2 linked regions of the Pelodiscus sinensis genome follow. The protein of the gene in region 1 purifies or fractionates together with the protein of each later gene. This does not show direct contact. Links are inferred from orthologs where the notes say so. Each region holds a gene or a part of one and is shown in the gene's direction. Other genes may lie near its edges.

Evidence for each region.
Region 2: the proteins of CCNB1 (region 1) and CDKN1A purify together in Homo sapiens (affinity purification with western blotting; 8 studies listed by BioGRID and IntAct, with this or other methods). This does not show direct contact. The link is inferred for Pelodiscus sinensis from reciprocal best matches to the Homo sapiens genes CCNB1 and CDKN1A.

What each region holds. Positions count from the first base shown.
Region 1 is NC_134716.1:88,052,036-88,060,089, reverse strand, and holds the start of CCNB1 (G2/mitotic-specific cyclin-B1), read left to right. Parts: upstream 1-4,814; 5' UTR 4,815-4,953; coding exon 4,954-4,974; intron 4,975-5,332; coding exon 5,333-5,488; intron 5,489-5,564; coding exon 5,565-5,678; intron 5,679-7,013; coding exon 7,014-7,196; intron 7,197-7,775; coding exon 7,776-7,934; intron 7,935-8,054. UniProt on the Homo sapiens protein: Essential for the control of the cell cycle at the G2/M (mitosis) transition.
Region 2 is NC_134737.1:17,145,364-17,153,852, reverse strand, and holds the start of CDKN1A (cyclin-dependent kinase inhibitor 1), read left to right. Parts: upstream 1-5,182; 5' UTR 5,183-5,388; intron 5,389-7,676; exon of another isoform or gene 7,677-8,489. UniProt on the Homo sapiens protein: Plays an important role in controlling cell cycle progression and DNA damage-induced G2 arrest. Involved in p53/TP53 mediated inhibition of cellular proliferation in response to DNA damage.

The sequences.
Region 1 (8,054 bases):
GTACCATTTCCTTCATTTCCAATAGTGCTGAATTAGAATAATTTCTGCAGTTACTGGACTGATCGTTCAAAAAGTAGCTGTGGCCGAAAGAATGTAAAAATGGCATTTCCTTATTCCGGTAATCTTACACGTGTATATGTTGTATTTATATGTATATATATCTGAGTGGATTTTGGTAAACTCAGAGAGCTGATAGGTAAGGTCCCATGGGAATCAAGACTGAGGGGAAAAACAACTGAGGAGAGTTGGCAGTTTTTCAAAGGGACATTATTACAGGCCCAAAAGCAAGCTATTCTGCTACGTCAGAAAGATTGAAAATACGGCAAAAGACCGCCTTGGCTTAACCAAAAATGGAAAGTAGGACAAATTACAAAGGATGAATATAGGCAAACAACACAGGAATACAGGGGCAAGATTAGAAAGACAAAGGCACAAAATAAGCTCAAACTAGCTACGGGAATAAAGGGAAACAAGAAGACTTTTTATAAATACATTAGAAGCAAGAGGAAGGCCAAGGACAGGGTAGGCCCACTGGTCAGTGAGGAGGGAGAAACAATAACAGGAAACTTGGAAATGGCAGAGATGCTTAATGACTTCTTTGTTTCGGTCTTCACCGAGAAGTCTGAAGGAATGCCTAACATAGTGAATGCTAGTGGGACGGGGGTAGGTTTAGAAGATAAAATTAAAAAAAAAACAAGTTAAAAATCACCTAGAAAAGTTAGATGCCGGCAAGTCACCAGGACCTGATGTAATGCATCCTAGAATACTCAAGGAGCTGATAGAGGAGGTATCTGAGCCTCTAGCTATCATCTTTGGAAAATCATGGGAGACAAGAGAGATTCCAGAAGACTGGAAAAGGGCAAATATAGTGCCCATGTATAAAAAGTGAATTAAGAACAACCCAGGAAACTACAGATCAGTTAGTTTAACTTCTGTGCCAGGGAAGATAATGGAGCAAGTAATTAAGGAAGTCATCTGTAAACGCTTGGAAGGTGGCAAGGTGATGGGTAACAGCCAGCATGGATTTGTAAAGAAAAAATGTCAAACCAATCTGATAGCTTTCTTTGATAGCATAACAAGTCTTGTAGATGAGAAGCGATGGATGTGGTATACCTAGACTTTAATAAGGCATTTGATATGGTCTTGCATGATATTCTTATCAATGAACTGGGCAAATACAACTTAGATGGGGCTACTATAAGGTGGGTGAATAACTGGCTGGATAACCGTACTCGGAGAGTAGTCATTAATGGTTCACCATCCTGCTGGAAAGGTATAACAAGTGGGGTTCCGCAGGGGTCTGTTTTGGGACCAGCTCTGTTCAATATCTTCAACGATTTAGATATTGGCATAAAAAGGACGCTTATTAAGTTGCAGATGATACGAGGCTGGGAGAGGTTGCAACTGCTCTGGAGGATAGGGTCATAATTCAAAATGATCTGGACAAATTGGAGAAATGGTCTGAGGTAAACAGGCTGAAGTTTAATAAAGACAAATGCAAAGCGCTCCACTTAGGAAGGAACAATCAGTTTCACACCTACAGAATGGGAAGCGACTGTGTAGGAAGGAGTACGGCAGAAAGGGATCTAGGGGTTATAGTGGACCACAAGCTGAATATGAGTCAGCAGCGTGATGCTGTTGCAAAAAACGCAAACATGATTCTGGGATGCATTAACAGGTGTGTTGTAAGCAAGACACGAGAAGTCATTCTTCCGCTCTACTTTGCGCTGGTTAGGCCTCAGTTGGAGTATTGTGTCCAGTTCTGGGCACCACATTTCAAGAAAGATGTGGAGAAATTGGAGAGGGTCCAGAGAAGAGCAACAAGAATGATTAAAGGTCTAGAGAACACGATCTATGAAGGAAGGCTGAAATAAACGTGTTTGTTTAGTTTAGAAAAGAGAAGACTGAGGGGAGGGGGACAGGATAGCCGTTTTCAAGTATCAAAGGGTGTCATAAGGAGGAGGGAGAAAATTTGTTCATCTTGGCCTCTGAGGATAGAACAAGAAGCAATGGGCTTAAACTGCAGCAAGGGAGGTTTAGGTTGGACATTAGGAAAAAGTTCCTAACTGTCAGGGTAGTCAAACACTGGAATAAATTGCCCAGGGAGGTTGTGGAATCTCCATCTCTGGAGATATTTAAGAGTAGGTTAGATAAATGTCTATCAGGGATGGTCTAGACAGTATTTGGTCCTGCCATGAGGGCAGGGGACTGGACTCGGTGACTTCTCGAGGTCCCTGCCAGTCCTAGTATTCTATGACTCTATGATGTGTTTGCAACTTTAATCAGAACCAAGATAACCCTTGAAGTGCAATCAGGATTATCTCCTGACAGTATGTGAACCAAATTGATAATATTGTATTTGAATTAGAAAGAAAACTAGAAACGTGTAGATCCTAACCAAAGAGGAATTTTTCCTGGTTGGTTGGTTGGTTTGTGTTGTCTACTGGGTTTTCTGGAAGGCTCTGACCAGCTAGGAAACTAGTAGCCTTATGTGATCACAGCTATCATGCAGTTTAACATTTGAACAAGTCTCTCAAACAAAGTGCTCGGGGCCATCTTCACATACTGTGATCAAGTTTGAATTCTAGTATTGGCAATTGAGGTAACTGTAAACTGACCAAATCTTAGCAGCAAGCCATTGGACATGTAAGTTACTCCATACATGAATGTTATGGCCAACTATTCATGAAGAGCAACACCAGGAAATTCCACCACCAAACTTTCAGAAGTGTATGTCTTGAATTGCCAAACCCTCCCCTGGACAGTATAAACTCACATAAAAACCGCCATTTTATTACTAGTACATGATATGCACAAATCTTCCTACGTCAAAGGATTTTCCCGACACTTCAATCTAAATATACTTTGAAGTGACCACAGGTAATGATGCATAAAAGTCATAGTTGGTTATGATAAAAGTAAAATGCAATTACAGTAATGTCTAACTGAACAAGATAAAGAGTGAAGTCCAAGCAAAATGCTCTCACCACACTATTACTTGTGCAATCTCAGGATCACCCTCTTGCCCCAATGCTGCTTTTGTTAATCACGTTACCAATGCCCTGCATAGAGATGACTTGAAAGACATTTCTCTCCTTTCTTATAGTTCAGGGATTCTCGAACTTCATTGCACTGCAGCCCCCCTCTGACATCAAAAATTACTATACAGCAAATGGAGGAGGGGCTGTAGCCTTAGTCTACCCAAAGCCTACTGCTCCAGATGGGGTGGGCCAAAGCCTGAGCCTCACAGGATTCAGCCTCAAGCAGGGAGCCTGAAATTGAGCTCTGCTGTCCAGAGCTGACACACTCAACTTCAGCTTTACCCGAGTCCCAGCAAGTCTCAGTCAGCCCTGGTGACCCCATTAAAATGGGTTCATTACCCACTGTTACAGTTCCTTCTCTTCTATATGAATCATCCCCAGCTAACGTCCAGGAGACAAAGTCTGTATGGTCAATTCTCAATATGTAGATTTTTTGTCTACACCCTTTTCTTTCCATAGAATGGCCACTTATGCAGGTAATGATCCATTTGATCTTGTGGACACGTGGCTGAGGCATTAGCTAGACTTTTTTCTAGGGCTTTAATTCTCAGAGTTTATTTCCCAGAACCCTCACATCCCATTCAGGGGTGTGCTTCAGCAGTGGGAAGTGCCGGGGCTTAGGGCTTTAGCCCTGTGTGAGTCTTTAGTCTCAGGGCTTCAGCCCTGGGGTGAAATGTCAGGGCTTTGGTCTTGCAGAGGTCATCAGTCTGGAGTGCACTGGGGCTCATGGCTTCTGTACTACTGGAGGCACCAGACTCATGTTTCAGCCCAGCAGGGTATGCTAGGGCTCAGGACATTTGCCTCCTGAGATACTGAGGATCAAGTGGGCTTGAAAATATTTACCAGAGCTCTTCTCCGCATGACTCTGGGTACAAAGAAGTCATGATTTTGTCTCTGGAGAACGGGTGTGTGACAAAATTGGAATATGTCTTAGTAACATCATAAAAGAACATCTTATAACTTTACATACAATGTTTGCATGCACATTTTACCAGAACAATATAGATAAGCAAATTATATGTTTTCAAATGATACCTCACAAGGCATACTTTGTACAAGGCATACTTTACCACAGCCCTATGAAAAAGAGTGGACTGGCCTGCTCCCTATCCCACTTGCAGTCCACATAACCATCTCCCCCTTCAGTCCTGGATTTCTGCTCCAGCAGACATAAATACCCCAGGCTCTCCCCTATACATCTTTTCCCCAGTTTACCTGTTTCACCCAACATATCAATAAGGCTGAGATTCCATCTTATTAAAAACATTAATTCAGGCACAGAGAGTTAAATATTTAATGCCTTATCTAGACTGAGGGTGACTACTGAACCGTAAAGTATAGTGAAGTTCCAGTGGTAGTGACTAACCCCTAGAGAACCAGCACTATCAAGAAACAAAGCTGGATAGACCCCATGCAGAATATTAAATTAATTGTTTCCCCAAAGCAGAACTTGCATGGGATTCCTTGTTAAGGGGATGAGATGAATGGCCACAGTACACGACTATTGAAATACTGGTAGCCTGAGACTCTTTTAGCTACACTCCATTGCCCACCCCAACTCTGTCCCCAGCCAAGCGTCAGAGATTAAATCATAAAGGCATCACGCCGTCACCTGCTACAAACAATCACCGCCCCCTTTTCGAACGTCTAGAGGAATCAGCACCCTGTCTCCACGGAAACGCATTCGGGGTGGAACAGCGAGCGGCCAATGAGAATCGAGGGAAGACGAGGGGGCAGCCAATGAGCGGAGTTTGGTGCGTGGTTTAAACCTGCAGGCAAGGGCTGCTGGGGAGTTGTGCATTCGTGTTCTGAGCCGGGCAGCTGTGGGGACAGGAGTCGCACGCACTAGGCCCGGCAGCTGAAGGTGCAGCGGCGCAGCCGGAGTTCAGGGCTTTGTGGTGCAGGAGGGGCCATGGCGCTGCGGGTCAGCAGGGTAAGTGGCGGGAGGAAGGGGTCACCCTGTGGAGCCCCGGCGGGTTTCCTTCGCGGGCGGGCTGCAGCCATTTCTTCTGCGGGCGGGTGGGGGAGTGACCTTATTAGCGGGGTCTACGTGTGCTCAGTCTGGCTGCGGCTGTTGCTCCGTGTCTCGGGCCTGGGGCTAAGAGCGGCTCCGTCCCCAGCTTGCTCGCCGGGCTGCGGGACGCTAGTGCAGGGGCTCGGGTAAGGCCGGCTAACGGGCTCGCCGCAGCTCCGCCCTGAGCAGAGCCTGGTCTAGGAGGCTAGGGTTTGGGGGTGCCCGGCGTCCCCTTCCCGGCAGGGCTGCCGCGCTGACGGGGCGCTCTTCTCCGCAGAACACCAGAGTCCACGCCGAGAACCAAGTGAAGAGCAATGTGGCCGCCGTCAAGCGGGAAGCGGCTGCTGCCAAGCCCGGCCTCAGGCCGAGAACCGCCCTGGGCGACATCGGTAACAAAGTGTGCAAGCAGCCGCCCAAAGCGCCTCCTAAAAAGGTAAGGCCAGAGCCTATCCCGCCGAAGCCCCGAGAAGCCCGAGCCTGGGACGCTCACGGCCCCCTCTTCTCTCTAGGAAGCGAAACTGCCCGTCGCCGCCGTGAAGCCCCTGGCCAAGAAAACCACGAGAGCCGCGGAGAAGGTGAACGAGCCGGTTAAGGAGCAGAACCCAGTGCCGGAGCCTGCTAAGGTATTAGTGCAGTGCCAGCCGGCATCCAGCCCCTGCTCTGAGCTAACCACAACCAGCAGGGATCCTAGCAAGCCTGGAAGAGGGACACGCTTCTTCACGCTCCAAACCAACCCTGACCTCACCGATTCCTGCCTGGCTTAGCGCCTCCCTGTTGAGCCTGTTTCTCCCATCACTGACCCTGCAGGCTTTGCCCTCTTCCCTGGAGCATTGGTGAACTCCCTAGCAGTCTGTGAATGGATTATTTAGCGACTCCACAGTAGCATTTGAAAGGCTACAGCTGCACTTGAAGTGCTTCAGTGTACACCTCCTCCCATTGAGAGGGCTCTTCTGCCAGTGCAGGCAATACACCCTCCTGAATGTATAGCTAGGTCAATACAAGATTCTACTCTGTAGCTAGTGTAATGCTGTGTTTAGGTAACTTAACTACCTGTTTTGTTAGTCTTTAAGGTGCTGGTAACTTAAATAGTAGTCTAACTACATAGTTGGCTTGTGTATAGAAAAATTGACAGTTATGCAGCTACATTATACATCTCTAATCTTCATATACAAGCCAACTGTGTGAAACTTTAGTATAGAACAGTCTTTGTCTCAGATTTTCGGTGTGCTCCTGCCAATGAGGTAGAGCAGTAAAATCTCACTTTACAGATGAGATGGGAGGGAGGGACTGAGGCAGAATGCCTAAGAACATGCAGAAGTCTGGTGGAACCTGCCAAAACCTGGGAGTAGTCAATAGGTGAGGATAATTGCCGTGTGGTGGTAATGAATCTGGCATGGGCTTTTATTAGACTGGATGCTGGTCTAGAGGGGCTACTGATGTACACATATGGCTATTAGGCTATGTTCTTAGCCTGGGACTTGAAATCCTGGTTACCTAAAGGTAGTCTATAGGATACCATCCCTTAGTAGACATCCATCTCAAATGGCTCCTACTAAAAACAAGCACTCCCATCCTGCAACATAGGATATCTTGTGACATTACAAACACTGACTTATGAAACAGTCTTGGCCAAACCTGGCATTGGGGATGCTGTGATTTACTACTTGTATCAAGTTTGTGTAGTCCTATCTTTTGAACTCAGTTCTGTTGGGGGGTGATATAACTAGCTTACATACTAAGTTTCTATACTGTTACTCTATTGCACCCTTGTATCATTGTGATACATCTGTGGAGGTCTGATGTAGTTTGTCATGGCTTTAGTAACATTGTAGTATTGTCAGTCTGATTGCTATAGACCTGATCTACAAATCTTAATGGCCTAACTTTCAGAGACCTCTCTTCTGAAGTGTTGTCTTCAGTAGCAGTTATGGGTACTCCATTTTAAACTTTGTCCCCAGTTGGAATCTCCATCCCCAAGCCCAATGGAGACCTCTGGATGTGTGCCAGCAGAGGAGATGTTGTGCCAGGCTTTTTCTGATGTCTTGCTTGAAGTGAGAGATGTAGATGCAGATGATGGTGCTGACCCAAATCTCTGCAGTGAATATGTAAAGGACATCTATAGCTATCTGAGAGATCTTGAGGTTGGTATAAACAAGAACCATATCTTCTGTCATTCTACTTTACCCTGACTGTTACCACCTCTCTGGTGCAATTGCTACTTGAGAAACTGGACCTCTCTTTCTAGACCTTTGGGTATCCCTAAGGTGCAAGGAGTCTTATTCCTTGCAGTAAATCTTTCCCTTAATCCAGCAACCAGCTAGGAGAATGAAGGGTAAGATAGGCTTATTGGACCAACTTCTGTTTGGTGAGAAGTTTTTGAGCCACATAGTTCTGGTTTCTCTCAGATTCCTTCTCCCACCAAGTTCCATTTATCAGACCGTGTTTCTCAATAGCCTCTGACCAACAGGCTATACATAAACTGCATACATTTTCTAACAGACTCAAAATGTAAGTGATAAGCAAAACTAGTTGGCTTAAACTACCAGCACTGGCATTATTACTCCAAGGTAATATAGCTAACAACTGCCTTATACTATTGCCTTCAAATATCTCTTGGCCAAAGAAGCTAGATTCTGTCTCTTTGTTGGCCAAGAAGATGGTGCCAGTGCTTCCCTATATGCAGGAATTGCTGTAGTAATGCATACTCTTCTTCCGTGCAGAAGCAACAAGCTGTCAGACCAAAATACCTGGCAGGACAGGAAGTTACTGGAAATATGCGAGCTATACTAATTGACTGGCTTATACAGGTTCAGATGAAATTCAGACTGCTTCCAGAGACTATGTACATGACTGCTGCTATCATTGATCGCTTCTTGCAGGTAAGGGCATGACATGGCAGCTTGGAATCCTGGCAAAGGAAAATTGCACTCGCATACAGCAGATAAGGGTGACAAATCTGAACCAGCACAAGTTTAATGTTGCACTGTAGCAAAGACTAA
Region 2 (8,489 bases), on another chromosome or scaffold:
CAGAATCCTAGGACTGGCAGAGACCTCAGGAGGCATCCAGTCCAGCCCCCTGCCCACAGCAGGGCCAACCCCAACTCAATCATCCCATGCCATTTTGTGCAGAAGTCTTTTCTTTCACCTGATACCCATTTAAAAGTTCACCATGTTCGACTGGTCCTTTCTCTTTAACTATGTTCCTTTTAAACTAAATAGCAAGGTTTTCTTTAATCCCCCACTCCCTTTGTGGATGCCGTTCTTCATTTACAAGAATATAGCGGCATCAGCCACCTTCCAAGCCCCCTTCTTGGACAGATGAAGCTCTTTAGCCCTTTACCTCAGTTTCCCTTCTTTTAGGACTCTTTCACCTTCACAAACAGGCTTCTCTCCTGCAAATACCCCTCCCTAAGGTTGTTATTAATATAAACAGAACCCAGTGTTCCAAAATAAAGTCCACAGAGTCTAACTCAATTTTCTGCTTTTAACAGGCCACTTCCTGCTCTACCTTACTAGAATCTTGTTTCTCCTGGTGCCTCAAACACTTTTATAACCTTCTGCAACTACAAAAACCTCTCAAGTCTTTATCACAGCTTCCCCCTTTATAAGGTCCAGATATCTTCCCTTAAGCCCAGCTGAGCAGCAGGTCACAGGCACTGGACCTCCGCCTGCTTAAAAGGGCCAGTCACACAGTGACAAGTGTCACTTGGCTATGGAACCATAATGCTTTTGTTCTCTGTGTAACAGACCTTTCTGTTTCTAAATCCACTCCTTGCATGCTGAGTTGGCAGCCATTTTGTTCTCATAGTCCAATATAACTTAAAAAACAACAAAAAGTCTAGCAGCACCTTAAAGACTAACAAAACATGTAGCTGGTATCATGAACTTTTGTGGGTGCAACCCACTTCTTCAGCCCATCTCCATGTTTTGTTAGACTTTAAGGTGCTACTAGACTATTTGTTGTTTTTTAAGTTTTTCCTGTTACAGACTAACTCGGCTCCCCCTCTGAAGTTTTCCAATATTTCTAATGGTAATCAGAAAAGACACACTGTGCTCTCTAATGGTGAAGACTTTACTGTTGTTCTTACTCTTGGTTGCTGCTGTCCTCAATCTAAAGTGAAGTCCCTTGTTCTGGCTTACACAACTCTCTGAATTTTGTGGCTGGCGAAACACAAGGTACATTTGCCTTTGCTTTCAAAATGAATTAAAACACATGAATTCAAAAATTAGAGTTGGGCAGATTGATAAGAGCGTGTGAGGTAGATGGGTTTGTTCATGGATACGTTAGTCACTGCTACATCAAAGCTCACATCAATCTAAAATCCTGTGTTTAACTATCCCCCTGAACTTCGGGAAGTTCACTCCTGATCCCAGCTTCCCAGGGCCTATCTCTGTGCCCTAGGATTATATCTGTTAGCTGATTTCATACTCCTGGGATGTGTCTGCATCCTGTGTTATAAGGGGACTTGCAGAGAAAAGCTCTGCCTTGGTCATGAGACAGTCTCCAACAGAACATGCCCAGACATATTATCTGAGAGAGCAGGCCAGCCTGAAATGTGCCACTCTGCATTGTGGAAGGGGTTAAATCCAAAACAGCAACAATCGGAGGTGCTGAACGTTCAGCAAGCACCCTGGAAACAGAAGATTAGATGCTTTATTTAGCACGTATATTTCTGATCCAAAAGAGCCTCCCAAATAGATGTGAAACACACCCAGCCTCAGCTGGAGCTGTACCATGGCAAGCCACCAATGCAGACAGGGCTTGGGTGTAAAACTTCGTTGCCCTAGAGCAGGGGTGTCCAAACTTTTTTCAACGAGGGCCAGATTTGATGAAGTGAACATGCGTGAGGGCCGACCATTTTGCCTGACATTCTTTGAACCATTAAAATTAAACGCAAATTAACTATTTTATGCAAAGTTTATTGCACACGGCATACTTTTCATTTCGTCACATGGATGACAAATCTAAACAGGTGTTAAATCACTCTGCCTTTCATATCTGAAGGCCAGATGAAAAAAAAATCCAGGAAGCTGAAATATATGTCAGGAACATTGTAAAGTACATTACATATTATTGGTAATAAAGGTTGTCTGTCAACTTTTAAGTTCAAAAAATATGAACAGGAACATAACACCAAGTATACACATTGTGTCCAAATATATTTATAACTGATTTAGACCAACTGACATTAACTGAGATTTTACAATGTATTCATCTCAATACATATGGATTCGTTGGGGGCCATAAAAGATAGATATTGCCAAATTACCTGGGGATATTGCCAAATTAAACCGGAACACGGGCCGCAATTGGCCCGCGGGCCGGACTTTGGACACGCCTGCCCTAGTGAGTTAGTTAGCCTTGCTTTTATACAGGTTTGCAGTGATGCGGTGACCCCAGTACAGACAAGTCCTGAGATAAGGGGAAGGCAGATCTTACACTTCAGGATATAAACTGGTCACAGAAGAGATCAGGAAGGAATCTTTCTCCCTCCGTCTTTCCTCTCTTATATGCAACAATTATGTAACTGTTTAGGAGCGCAGGCTCTGATCTTCTCAGGGCACTAAAGAGCTTAATTTCCATTCACTGCCATGTGAGTTAGCTGCCTGTATTCCCTTGTGGGCCATGGGGAGGTCGTTGTGTTTTGGTTTTGCTCTGAAGCAGCAGATACGGTAGCTGCTACAGAAGCTCGGGACGGAATGAATTGGGTCTGCTCTGGTATGGAAACCCTATTGAGAGAGTTAGTTTTCGACTGCCTTGAGCCAAACCAAAATCTTGCAGCACGGGAGCCCCTGGGAAGTCAGAGGGCAGTGCTCCCAGCTGTCCTTACCCATACCCAGAATACGCAGCATTGTAGGGCAGTGTTTCTCAACCTTTTTTATTAAAGTACCCCAGGACCCACAGTTTTCAGACACACAATTTTATTCTACCATTGCAACGCATTTGTTTAAACAACTTCATTGTAGCTGGGCAGACAAAATTTTTGGGTGTAAAAAGTACAAAAACAAAGCGCTGTAAAAAAACAAAAATTCAGTGTTCTCCACATTTCAGTTGTGTTGAAGTACCCCCCAGACTTCTCTCAAGTACCCATACCACTTGTTGAGAAACACTGGCATAGGGGACCCAAAAATTTGGGGCACCACTGGATCTTAATGTCCATTCACCCACCTCTTCCTATTCCCTTCTGTGGCTCTGCTTCCTCAGCAGAGGATCTAGTTAACTGACAAGTGACAAAGCCTGCCAGTCCCATTAGCAGAACACTGATCCTGTGCAAGAGCCATTCTGGTGGAAATGAAGCCATGTCCCAGGCATATGCCAACCCCAGGTCTACTGTCAGTTTCTGAATGCACTGAGCACTAATGTACACAGGACCTGGGTTTAAAATTTGCTTTATCATATTTCATTAGTGTGTAGCTGAATATTATAAAAGACTCACCCCGTGGGGCACCGGGGCACCAGTGTAATTACACCGTAGGGCCCCATGAACCCTAAGGAGGGCCCTGGCAATACTAGTAGCTAGGAGCAAATGCCCTGAAGTTCCTACCAGTGAGCTATGAAGCCTAGATCTGAACATTAACAGTTCATCCAGGACCGGGCTAGCCACCCTCTAGCCAGATGTGCCAAGCCGGTAACATTAGGAGAGACCTCACCTGCTCCTCCGCAGCCACTTCGATCCTGGTGACTGGAAGGGTCGGGGCGCAGATACACTGGCTGGTTCCGGGAGCTGGCCGTGGGACCGAGATTCTCAGCTAGTGCAGCGGCTGCACTGGCGCCTCCTGGCAGCTGATCCAAGCTGTGGTACTCAGCGGCCGGGCCGTGGGGTTAGCTCAGCCCCCAGCAGCGCAGGCTGCCACATATCACCAGAGCCCCCAGTCCGGGCTACCGAGCTGGTCGCAGCGCCTGGGACTGGCTGCGGGGGGCGGGGGAAATCAGCTGTGCGAGCAGGTGGGGAGGACGGGGGAGGAGCCCTGTGCCTGCTTATCTGGAGGCTGGCAGGGCGCAGCGCGTAGAGCGCAGCGGCTTGGAGAGGCGCAGGGCGGGGAGACTGCGGCGAGGTGAGAGGGCGGGGGGGATCCTGTCTTTGTCCCCGTTAATCCGGCCAGGTGAGAGGGCGGGGGGGATCCTGTCTTTGTCCCCGTTAATCCGGCGAGGTGAGAGGGCAGGGGGGATCCTGTCTTTGTCCCCGTTAATCCGGCGAGGTGAGAGGGCGGGGGGGATCCTGTCTTTGTCCCCGTTAATCCGGCGAGGTGAGGGGGCGGGGGGGATCCTGTCTTTGTCCCCGTTAATCCGGCGAGGTGAGAGGGCGGGGGGATCCTGTCTTTGTCCCCGTTAATCCGGCGAGGTGAGAGGGCAGGGGGGATCCTGTCTTTGTCCCCGTTAATCCGGCGAGGTGAGAGGGCGGGGGGGATCCTGTCTTTGTCCCCGTTAATCCGGCGAGGTGAGGGGGCGGGGGGATCCTGTCTTTGTCCCCGTTAATCCGGCGAGGTGAGGGGGCGGGGGGATCCTGTCTTTGTCCCCGTTAATCCGGCGAGGTGAGGGGGCGGGGGGATCCTGTCTTTGTCCCCGTTAATCCGGCGAGGTGAGAGGGCAGGGGGGATCCTGTCTTTGTCCCCGTTAATCCGTCCCCTTCCCCGCCGCAAGGCTGCTCCGCGCACCATCAGCGACCCTCGCTCTTCCGGGGCGCGCCGTTGAGCGGAGGGGTCTTTCCAGCTCTTTGGCCCCCAGACACCGGAGCGGGGTACCGCTCTCACCCCCTTCCCGACACGTAACGGGGATCCCACCCTGGGGCGCTTGAGGCTAAGCGCGGCCCCTCTCCGAGGGGTCACCCGGCACTTCCCGGGGCGCGGCCGGGGATTTCTCCCAGTCCCTCTGCTCTGGCGCTCTCGGTTTCGCTGGCTGGGGAGCCTGCCGGGACCGGCCCCCCCGCTCGGGGGCTGCGAGAGCGAAGATCCCGGCGCTACCCTGATCCGGCGCCGGGAACCTATTGCAGGGTTTGGGCTGCCGCCGCCCCGAGGGCTGGGACTGGGGCGCCCCCCGCCGGCACGAGCAGGGCCAGCGCTGGCGAGGCAACGCCGCTGGGGTCTGCAGGGAGCGCTGGGGCGCGTCGGGGCTCCGAGCGGGGCGCTGCGGCCGGCAGGGCGGGCGGTGCCCGGGCATGCCCCGCGGGGGGGGGGGGGGGGGGCGTTAGTCACACTTGCTATGAGGTAAGAGCCCGGCCCTGCTGCGAGGGCTCCGGAGTCACTGCCAGGCGCGCCCCGGGCTGGGCTTCCCCGAAGCGCCGGGCACAGCCAACCAGGAGGAGCCGTGATCCCGGTGCCGGTCCGAGCTCATGCGGGGCTGACTGCTGGCACCTCCCCCCCCCGCGGCAGTGGCGGGCCCCCGGCGAGGCACAGCCCCGGGGGCAGTTGCCGCAGGTAGCTCGGGAGAGGCCGCGGTGACAGGGCGGGGGGGCTGGCAGCCAGGGGCGGGACCGGATCCGTGAAGGGTGGGCTGGAAGGTGTAAACGCGCAGTGGCTCCGCGCCTAGGCTGCTCCAGATGATGCAAGCGGGCTCCTCTCGGCAGGGAAAGCGTGTGGCATCGGCATGTCCCGGGAGGGGTCGCTGGGCGCACGGGGTGGCTTCCCCCTGCGTCCGGAGTGACTCCTCTAGCCCCTGCCTCTGGTGTGAACGAGAACGGGCATCCCGGCGCCTCTGTCGGGCTGGAGTGTCCTGGGCGATAAACACCCCCTGGTGGGGGACGTGGGGCACTGAAATGCCTGCGCCGCCCCCGCTCATTGCTTACCCGGCTAGTTCCTAGTGCTCCAACTGCCTGCTAGGCTGCGCTGCCTGACAGTCCAGCCGAGTGACCCCAGCCACTTCCTCCCTCCCTCGCCTAGAAACTGCAATGCCTGGAGTACATGGCCGCAGAAGGCTGAACTTTAAAACCTGTCCCTTGTGACTTCCTTCCCTGACTTGGGTGTATGGAGAGGAAGGGGGCTGCACTGAGCTCCAGCCAGTCTCTGTGGAAGTCCTGCTGTCCCTTTCTCTTGCCATAGTCTCCAGCTGCCTCTTGAACCAGATCATGCTGTGATCCACTCAAGGGACTGGTAAAGATGCCCAGCTTCACCAGGAGCAGGTTCCTGAGCTAGGAACAGGCTCCAGGGGTGGAAGATCCCGAAGTGAAGCTGGAACACAGTGTGTTCCTCAAAGAATCCCAAACAGTACTGGAGCAAAATCGCCCCCTATGCTCCTCGCGCACACCGCTCGGCCTGTGGGGCAAATGAGGCAGCAGGGAGATTTGCCCAGGCAGCAAGCTCTCCGCGCTTGGCGTGTGACTGATTCCATCCCTTTGCAACTGGTATCCAGTCACCTGTGGGAAATGGGCTTAGGGGAGTGATGACTCATGTTAGAGCAGTCAGGGTGCGCAGAGCCAGTGACAAGCTGTTTCACTTGCCAACCCAGCTAGGTAAGCACCACCCTGGTGATCACAAACCTTACACTGTATCTGCTACTTGTTCAAGTCTGCAGGACTCTTACATGGGTTCCCAAATTCAGGGGTGTGCCCTGCTGGTGGGGGTGTGAGAAAATCCCAGGGTGGGGCAAGAGGTGACCCAACCACCACCACCCGCAATCCCACCCCAAGTTTTGCTGCTATTTTGGGGGGAGTGGGGCATGAGGGTTTCTCAAAAAATCAAAAAGTTTGGGAACCACTAGCAGAATTGGGAACCACTAGCAGAATGTAACAGGACTTGCAAGAAAACTTCAGTGTATGAAAGGAAAGGAAAATGACTTTGATGCTTCTTAAAGTCCTCAACCACAACCCCCCACTCCACCCCACCCCACCCCACCCCACCCCGGTGTCATCTGACTAAGCGTAATGCTTCAGCCTACACTCCCGACTAATGTGAGGTGGTGCAGTTTGGGGCCTTGCTATGCCTGCAAGGGGCTGAGCTACTTAATGCTACAAGGATAGCTCAGTGGTTTGAGCATTGGCCTGCTAAACCCAGGGTTGTGAGCTCAATCCTTGCAGAGGCCATTTAGGGATTTGGGGCAAAAATTCATCAGGGATGGTACTTGGTTCTGCTGAGAAGGCAGGGGATTGGACTCAATGACCTTTCAAGGTCCCTTCCAGTTCTAGGAGATAAGCAATCTCCATTATTAAATTATATTAAGCTACTTCAGTCTAGGTAGGTATGATGGGAGGGGTCCTCCCAAAGAGGCTGTAGTCCAGCTGGTGGAAGAATTCTCCCATTGACCCAGCATTGTCTAGATCAGTGGTCTCCAACGCAGTACCTGCAGGAGCCATGGTGCCTGCTGGGGCATTTATGTGCACCTGCCGAAATATCTGTGCTGGCCCGGCGCGTGGCACCTGCGCAGTGCCGGCACAGGATGCGTGGGCAGCCCCACCCCCAGGAGCGCGGCACATGCGTGGCCCCACCCCCAGATGCCTGGCACGTGAGCGGCCCCGCCCCTGGGCAACCGGCAGCCACGAAAGGTTGGGGACCACTGGTCTATATGGTGACTAAGGTCTGCTTTACAGCACTGCCCAGGGGTGTGGATTTTTCAGGTCCCTGACTGATGCAGTTATATGAACCCCGGTTCCTAGAATAGAGCAGGCCTTAGACACTGATTTAAGTCTAAGTCAGTGGGAGACATTAAGAGCACTCAGTATCTCTCAGGAGAGGGCCTTCTGCATTCTAATGGGTGTGAGTGTTTGCTTTTAGATGCATGAACAAGTTGAAACTTGTTACCTGCCAGGGCTTGTTTGGACATGCTGGAACTTGACTGCTGGCAGTGATGTCATTCCACTGAATTGTTTACAAGGGTGTGAACTGTCAGGCGACACGAGGGCTGATTTCTATTTTTATCTCTTGGCCTCTTCCTCTCTGGGTGAAAAGGCAGAAACAAAGTGGGATCAATAGAATATTATAGACAGTGAGACTATTAAGTTAAGGTTCAAGATATATAGAAGCCAAATGCCACTGTAGTGCGAAAATCTCTTCCAGATGAATAGCACAAGGCTACATTGTCAGACTGTGTGAGGGCAGAGCTGAACAAACTATTCGCTGCTTATTACAGAGGTGAGAGTTAACTCTGTTACTGGAATACAATGAATTCTGTGTGGAATGAAACCCGGTTCAACCCAAACCATTTTGGGGGTTTTACTTTATAACCATAAAGTAACCCTCAAACTCTTTAGCTCATGAAAATCTCTTTTCAAGCTAAGCATGTAAAATTCCTGAGCTATTTTGGTTGATTTGGTCTGCATTTAAAAAACAACTTTTTAGGGCAGAGAGCTTTGGCTGTAACTGCCTAGTTCTACTGCTAATAACATGGTGCTAGCTTTCTGCTCATGGGCTTGTTGTGACTGCCCTGCTGTGTTCATTGTGGGCTGGACTTCATATGCTGAGCTCTGTTCCTGTTCCTGTTGCAGTCAGGAGAAGCTGCAGGTCTGCCACATACCTTTCCATCAGGCTATATGGGAGTAGAAGAATGGTCTCTAGGCAGATCAAGGCCAAATGTTCTGTACATAGTA